2 linked regions of the Rattus norvegicus genome follow. The protein of the gene in region 2 purifies or fractionates together with the protein of the main gene of each other region. This does not show direct contact. Links are inferred from orthologs where the notes say so. Each region holds a gene or a part of one and is shown on either strand. Other genes may lie near its edges.

The links.
Region 1: the proteins of Phf19 (region 2) and Ezh2 purify together in Homo sapiens (affinity purification with mass spectrometry; 10 studies listed by BioGRID and IntAct, counting the BioPlex papers as one, with this or other methods). This does not show direct contact. The link is inferred for Rattus norvegicus from reciprocal best matches to the Homo sapiens genes PHF19 and EZH2.

What each region holds. Positions count from the first base shown.
Region 1 is NC_086022.1:77,684,374-77,688,980, reverse strand, and holds the start of Ezh2 (histone-lysine N-methyltransferase EZH2), read left to right. Parts: upstream 1-1,797; 5' UTR 1,798-1,936; intron 1,937-1,950; exon of another isoform or gene 1,951-2,129; intron 2,130-2,209; exon of another isoform or gene 2,210-3,077; intron 3,078-4,607. UniProt on the Homo sapiens protein: Polycomb group (PcG) protein. Catalytic subunit of the PRC2/EED-EZH2 complex, which methylates 'Lys-9' (H3K9me) and 'Lys-27' (H3K27me) of histone H3, leading to transcriptional repression of the affected target gene.
Region 2 is NC_086021.1:38,576,563-38,580,369, forward strand, and holds part of Phf19 (PHD finger protein 19), read right to left. Parts: intron 3,799-3,807; coding exon 3,731-3,798; intron 2,236-3,730; coding exon 2,074-2,235; intron 1,557-2,073; coding exon 1,469-1,556; intron 724-1,468; coding exon 638-723; intron 1-637.

The sequences.
Region 1 (4,607 bases), on a different chromosome or scaffold from region 2:
TGAGTGTATTTTTCTCATCTTATAGAGTTCATATATACTTCTTAGCAGTATATGAGGAACTGCATGCTGTGATGGCTATTCTTGGTTGTCAAGTTGACTACATCTGGAATTAACTAAAACCCAAGAATTAACTAAAAACTAAGGGTACACCTGTGATGGCTTTTTTCTTAATTAAATCATTTGACTTTTAATTCAGATCTTTTTAGGTGGGAAGCTGCAACTGCTTGCCCTCACTCTAGATGGCAAGCCCATTCGTTCATTGGCATTACAACCATTGTATAATGTATAATGAATTTCAGGTGTATAATGAATTCAGCTGAAGTCATCCCAGCTTATGGACTGAACTAGTGGATTTTGACTTTTCCATTTACACACACACACACACACACACACACACACACACACACACACAAGTATATTAGAGTGGCTTACAGGTTGTGGTCCAACTAGTCAAGCAATGACTGTCTACCAACAGAAAACCCAAGAATCTGCTAGTTGTTCAGTCTACAAGCCTGGATGTGCTCGAATACCAGTGAAAGAATATGTATATATTCCCTCTCTCTATATATATTCTGAATATCTATATACATATATATTCATTCTCCGTTCTCTATCCATTTAATCAGTGAAGGAATGAATACATTCATACATTCATTCAGCCTGTTCCTCTAGAGAACCATGACCAATACAGATACATAACTTCTAGAGTGTTACAAATTCTCAGTGTTAATTCTTCATTGTTGAACCTGTTTTCGCAGGTCTGTTAGTTTGCCATACAGATGCATCTTATTAGAAGTAAATTTGAAATATCATTATTCACTTCATTGCCAGATAACTGAAACCAGGGTGTGTGTGTGGGTGCTGTGTATTGTATAAGAAGCACATTTCTAGTCCTCGAGGAGGGGAAAGGTTGACTTTCAAGATAGTCTAGCCATTGAAAAATGTTGCAAACTTCCTTACACTTTGCTGAGACAACAGGGACTGAGCTATCTGCTCTCAAAAGTTGCTAATAAACAACTTGAAACCTTGATAAGTGCTGAGAACCATAAACATAGATTGGAAGGCCTTTCAGAGAAATCTGGTCGCTTTTTCCTATGCTGTCAGGGCATTAGGCACTAGTTTTGCTAACCAAAGCCTCCAAGGTGCCAAAAGGAACCGCACTAACTTTCTCTGCTTACTGGTCCTCTCCATGTGGAGCGCGGCCCGTCCCGCATTGAGTCCCCCGTGGGGCCCGCCACGCGCCTTTCTGTCCGTGTCGCCAACAAGAGTGTTGGATTCCGGGCCCAGAATGGCACGCCAGGGGAAGAGGGCGGTTAAGACCGTTACCAACCCGAGTTTTGAATTATTTCAAACTTGGCTCTGGCGCCCGCCCTTCTCTTCCCCTCCCCCTCCCGAGAACTACTCAAGAGCCCATTCCCGCCAAGAGCTGGCCCGCCCCCCGGCCGGTTCCCGCCATCCCGACCTCCCCGCCTCCTGCCCATAACGGGCTTCGGGTCCCGCCAAGTGCCCGATCTCCGCCTGCCTGTCCATGGCTTTCCTGAGAGGGTACCGCACGTTGGCAAAAGAACAAAGACAGAGACTGTGGAGCTTCCACCCGGTTAGCCGCGTTCCTCAGAACGAGCCCTGACACTCGCGCACGCGCTGGCGCCGGCGAGCCTCCCTGTCCCTGGGCTGGGGCTCGCTTGGAAGGCTCACAGCTCATCCGGCCCTCTGATTGGACGGGCGCCCTCTCGCATCCTCCAATCGGGGCGGCGCTTGATAGTGCTGGGGGGGCCAAATAAAAGCGATGACGATTGGGCTGCTGCGTTTGGCGCTCGGTCCGGTCGCGTCCGACACCCAGTGGGACATCGAAGGCAGTGGAGTCCCGGCGGCGGCGGCGGCGGCGGCGCGTTGGGGCGGCGCGCGGGAGAAGCGCGGGCTGGCGCGCGGGACGAAGGTAATGCACGCCGTCAGCCGCCGGTGGTCGGCAGTCAGGGATCTGGAACGCGCCCCGGGGCGGCGGCGGCGACCGCGGGACCTCCGCGCGAGTGCCTGGCCAGTCTCAGGCATCGCCCAGCGGGTCTCACTCGAGCGCTGCTTTTGTAGGCGCGGAGGGAGGGCTAGGAGACAGCTTTCCGAGGGGTCATGAGGTGCGGGCAGGTCCACGAGGTCCCAGGAGTGGACTGTGGATTCCGGCAGATGTGGGAGAGCGGGGGCCGGTGGTGGGGGCTTCTGTCCCGGAGCCTGTTCCCGCCGGGCCGGGGCTGGGGGCGTTCCTGTGGCCGATCCGGGCCGGCAGCTCTAAGCCTCAAGTCTCCTTTGTGTGGCTGGGAGCGCCCGGGTAGGACGGGACGTACACACAAGTTGGTGGGACCGAGTCGAGAGTCTGCACTCAGACAAAGGACAGACTGTGTCTCGGGAGGGGAGGGGAGACGGCGACACTCGGCTCCCGCCGCGCGGGTTGGGGCGTGGGGAGGCGCGACGCGAACGCGAGTGGGCAGGGCTCGTCCTTGCCTGGCCCTGCTGGGGGGCGACCGACTAACGCCTGGCCTTGCTGCTGCGGGACTGCATGAACGATGTTGGGAACTCCCTTAGCCCCGCGGCTGACATTTCCCCGAGAGCCGGGAGTCTCCCACAGCTTCGGGCTGCCAATGTCCTCGCCTGGCTTTGTGCTAAGTTCGATGGAAGAGTCCAGCTGTGCTCCCTTCTCTCACTTCATTGTACAACCTCCCCCTCCCCCCGCACGCACCAGATGTATGCTGCAGGGCTACTTTTTGAAAATGGGAGAAACTGAGAAAGCACGGGCTTTCGGAAAACTTGGTGAACGTCTTGTGAGTTCTACGTTTTAAAGGATCAAAATTTTAAAAAAATTACGGACTGTTTTGGCCAACTTATGAGCTTCTGAGAACGGCGACAGGTGCTAACGAAATCAACTGTCATTTATTCAGTGATTATTCCCCAAATCTCTAGGGGTTGGTTGTGGAAGAGATGATAGAAGTAGATGATCGAAATAAAATACCCACGAGAAATGTGGGTTTACGCTGAAGGACTGACAGTTTCTTTTTAGTGGGTCATGTTTCCAGTGAACAAAAGCTTTGGTGAGTCAGAAAAGACGTTTGTTGCCTAAGAAATTCGAGTGTATTCTGGTCACAATTCAAAGAAACTTCCTTTGTTTATTAACATAGGATTTGTAGAATCCAAATTCATCTGAAGTAAAAATTTGTCTTTGATATTTCAAATACCGTACAACAATGATACAACACCATTTCAATTTCAGGAAAGTCGTTATCATTTTAATTTTATGGGTTTTTAATGGCACATAAAACATTTGAAAAATACTAATGCTGTCACAGTTGAATGTAGTTTATATTTTTGGCGATTTCAAAATTTATTTTCTATTTTCACTAATGAACATTAGCAGTGAATTCATATTTAGAAATAAAAGTCTCATAATTTTACTTGCAAGTATGTGGAAATATTTAGGTTATATTTAATTTCCTGTTCTTGTTCTTTTAAGTTGGAAATGGGTTGGATTCTGGTCTTAAACGAAAAGAATCCTGCTTTTTCTCTTTGGAGAGGTGTATTAGGGAATGAAATGCTTAAAGTCCCAGAAACACTTAGAAAAATTGCATCCTAAATTTTTATTTTGATGGGTCTTGAATATATTTCTTTAAAAAAAAAAGAATGAAAGAAAAAAACCAGACTCTTCAATTGCACTGTTTCATCTAATGAAGACCTAAAGTAAATCTGCTAATTTACGGCTTCATATGAATGGAGACAAAGAAATGCAGTTCAAATTTCTGTTGCTTAGGATTTAGGAGCATCTTGGAACAGACATTCTAGGTGTTGCTCTGAATGTTGAGGTTGTAACATAAGGTTTATATTTACATTAAAGTCCTATTGATAATCTCATTCATTATGAGGTGAGCTAGTTGTATAGAATTTGGGTAGAAACTTGGGTGTGTAGAATTTAAAAATTCCAGTTTTGCCAGAATATGTGATTTGTCCTCTAGTTGATATTTGCTATTTTGTACTTGCCACATATATTTCCTAAAATCTCATTGAGGAATTGGTTGAAAATTCTGCGTTATGTTTTGATAGAAATGAGAGTATATTTAGACAGTCTAAATAGTGATAGAAAAAGCCACTTGTTGACTTGTGTAGTTAGATAGTTGTGTAGTTTTTGGTACTGGTTTTCTCTTACATGGATACATGTGATTATTTTTGTGTTGGCTATGTAAAGGTTTTAGTCAGATTTCCCAAATCATACCAAAATTCGTTTGCTTTACGGTGTCCTTTATTCTTTGAGGTCATATGCTTAAGAAGTTTAGATTTATTTCATCATTAGCCTTTAAATACTAGTGAAGAAAGTTGATTTGCTTTAAAAAAAAACAAGGAAAAATTCTCTGCTGATACAATGATTTATGGGCTAATTAGAAATGGTTTATAGATTAGCTTTGAAGTCTTTATGTCAGTATAGATGGTGACTTTTTCTGTAAATTCCATAGTAGTTATAGTTTGGTAAAATCTTCACGTACGGTGGAGCATGGGTAGAAAGAACAATGCACTATATTCAGAGAAATGTCCATCAGATTGTGTGTTTTATTTTAGAGATGCTGTTCCAGAAT
Region 2 (3,807 bases):
GTCCATGAGCCAATGGGCAGTTGTACAAAATTCCACGGACTCAAAGCGGGGGAAACGGGGCGGTTGGGCGATTAAGGAAGTCAGCTAATGCTGCAGGGTTAGAACTGGCGAGCATGGCCTAGAGCTCCCATCTGACTCTAAATCCCTCCCCTTCCTGATCCGGGACCAAAACAGAGTTGTCTTCGAGAGTCGAATGATAAAAGATGACATTCTTGCCCCTCAAATACCCAAATGTGACGATTTCATATTCATATGAGCAGATACAGCAGTTTTCCAACACAGCTGGGAGGATCCACGAGGGCTTCCCGGAGCAATATTCTGAGTTTTTGGCTCGGGGAGGGCAGGGCACAGGGTGGTTCAGGAAGAGGGCTTAGTATAAACACAGAACAGGATGGCCATAGCCCTTCCGGTCTTAGATGTGAGGCAGGGGAGTGGCAGGTCTGCAGGCAAGTCAGCCCAGACCACTGCTTTTGTGGGGCAGAGGGTGTTATGCCACAAGCTGTAGTGAATAAAATTCTCAGGCAGCCCTGTGCATATAGAACCTTTCAGCTGAAGTTTCAGAAGGTCCATGAGGGGCGTGTCCTTCATGCTGGGGAGTAGAGCCCCTCCTTACTGTCAGTTCTGGAATAGCAGGTACCTTTTTAAACTCTGAATTTCATCCAGTGTAAAGTCGAATATGCTGGCCAGGTGGTGGTCCGTGCTCCAGGCTGAGGTGAAGTCACTCTGTGGACACAACAGAGACAGGGTCAGTCAACAGACGGACCAACAGACCTACCTCTCCCCAAGCAGCCTTTCTCCCATCTGAGGGGTGTATGGGCGCCTGCTGTTCAGCCAGGGCCATGAGGGCTTAGGGAAATCCTGCCACTTCCTCTGGACTCTGAACTGTGGACAGAGAGCTAAGTCACCATGGTGTCTAGTCCTGACTTCTTCTCCAAGCCGCCTGATTTCTCGTTTGCCTCTCTGGGTCTTAGCTGCCTCCATTTGCAAAATGGGAATGACTGAGAGCCTGCTTTACTGGGGGCCACAGGAAGAAGCTAGGACTCCATTGTGGCTGTGAAAGTGCGGAGTGCAGAGGCACCGTTAACACTACCATCCACAAGGAGGCTCTCAGTAAGGATAATCGAAGAAGGAAAATATGTTCTGAGACCTGGTTCTAGGCTGGGCTCAGTCAATGCCTTCAACATCCCATCTAGAAAGCGCTGCCCCCACACCCTAGCCCCGTTTGGCCCAGACTGGAACTGGGATATTATCTAACCCTGCCCTAACCCATGTTCTCAGGAGAACTTGTGGGTGATGAGACCCCAATAGCAGTCTTAGGGTGCCTGACAATCCTTGTTTTTCTGTAATTGGCAGTGGGATATTGGGGCACCCCTTTGGGTCGGGGCCAGTGCGTTATTTTCTGCATAGGGCCCCTAACATGTGCGGCCCTTGCATGTGAAACTGGAGAATAAGAAAACCAGGAACTAACACTGGGAATAGCATCTTCCAGCAAAAACTTTGATCTTTTTCTTCTATAAACTCGCCTTTTCTGCTGCTGGGATTCCTGAGGCAACAAACTGTGGAGACAGAAAAGGGAGAGGGCGGCCTGTCAGAGCCCCAGTCAGAGCTGAGGGCAGCGGCAGTATGGGATCAGGAGGGTTTGGGCAGGGTAGAGTGAGCCTGGGAGGAGGCCATCCTCCGGGAGCAGTGAATGTGGAGGGGCTTTAGAGAGTAGAAAAATGAGAGGTGCCTCCTTGCCCCAGTGCCCCTAGAGACGAGGCTCGCCCAGCCCTTGACACTTCCCTCATGCTCTGCTGCTGCCGCTGCCCAGTCCTAGTGCAGCAGGGCTGGGTCCCAGCATCAGTCTTCCTGGAGCTAGGAAGTGAGGGGCCTGTGGTGAGAGGGACCCCAGAGCTTCTCACTAGCACTCCCAGAGTGCCTATAGCTGGACCCTGCTGGGTCTAGGACTCCGGGTTTACAGGGATGCTGCCACACTGCCTGAGCCCACCACATAGCTTCTACCATCTGCGGGAGGTGGGAGCTTAGGCAGAGAACCCAAGCTCGCTGCAGCCACTGTCCCCCACCAGCACTGACCCAGGCTTGCTCTTTCCTCTCTTACGAAGCAGCTCAAAGGTCCCTTTGTCACTTGGCATCTGTGCCCTGTCCGGAAGCAGTTTTCCTGGAGGGGCGGGCGGGACACGGACGCGCAGTCGGAAGATGCATTTCTTCTTCTTAATCTCCTTGCCACACAGGAACCTGGGGTGACAGGAGAGAGGCTTGGGCTGTCAGCTGATCCTCCAGAGAGTGAAGCAGATTGCCACCAAGGCCGGGGGCCTCCCTGCCCTGAGAATGAATCCACAGTCTCCAGTTGGAGAATGTGACCAAGCACCTCCCTGTCCTTGCCTGCTGAACGTATTCTATCCTTGCTCTTCCTTGAGGCTTCTTAGCCTTGGCCAGCTGCAAGGCCACCAGGTACAGCATAGGACAGAACTCTCAGGACCCAGGTACTGGTGCCAGTTCTTCATGTTCTTTGGCCAGGAAGCACCTCCGGGCACATCTCCTATTTCAACACTGGCTGAATGAGGCCCTGGGGCTGTGGAGGGTGTTCAAGCCTTGGCCTGTTCTCAGGAAACTGAGCACTGGGAGGTCACAGGATCTCAAGCTCAAGGGGAGGTCTTGCTGCACCTCAAACCACAGGAAGGTATAAGCATGTTATCCTACAAGAGGCTTCAGGCAAGCTTCCACAGAAGCAGGGGCTGTATCTCATAGCTGAGAATCTCTCCATAGCGCAGAATCTACCTAGACTGGTCTGTTACAGAGCCTGTAACTAGACTTGCTGCCAAAAACTGAATGGAGGTGGGGAAAACAAGAGGCCGAGGGAAGGACAGTGCTCAGTACATGGGATGTGGTGGTGCATACTTGTTAACTCAGCATGGAAGAGGCTGAGGCAGGGGAATCAACAGTTTGAACCTGGGCCAGAGTGAAACCCTATCTCAAAAACCAACCACCCAGCCAGCCAACCAGCCAACCAGCCAACCAACCAGCCAGTCAGCCAGCCAACCAGCCCACCAGCCCACCAGCCCACCAGCCAACCAACCAACCAGCCAACCAGCCAACCAGCCAACCAGCCAACCAGCCAACCAGCCAACTAACCAACCAGCCAACCAGCCAACTAACCAACTAACCAACCAGCCAACCAGCCAACTAACCAACCAGCCAACCAGCCAACCAGCCAACCAGCCAACCAGTCAACCAACCAACCAGCCCACCAGCCAACCAGCCAACCAGCCCACCAGCCAACCAGCCAACCAACAAATGAATAGGAAGCCAAGGGCTGAGCTTGGCTGGCTGACACCCAGAATCTATAACAGTGTAAAATGAAGACAAGGAGGGTTGTGTCATAAAAGGTCTTGAACATGGCTGAGGGACAAGTGTGTGCTAAAACATGGGATGGGAAGGCACAGGCTAGGGAAGTAGCCCAGAGGTGGAAGCCCTGACTGATGGTTTTCCAGGTTCTCTATCTGGCTGGGCCATAGAATGGATGCTAACATACAACTGAGTCAAGGCCCTGGGTGCTTGGGAAGGCTCTGCAAAGGAAGGCCTCTAGATGTCTTTACTCCCTGGATGGTGGACAAGAAGGAAGGAAAGCCAGGCAGGGAGCACAACTTAAACACAGGACTTATGGTAGGAAGAGCCTTTAGATTGAAATCCCAGCAAGGACTCACAGCTCTTCCTCTTTTCTTGCACTCACCGGCTTTTGTAACTGTTGAGAGCGTTGAGGAGATGCGGCCCTCGCTCTGTCACAGGGGTGCTCGTGAGCTGCGGGGA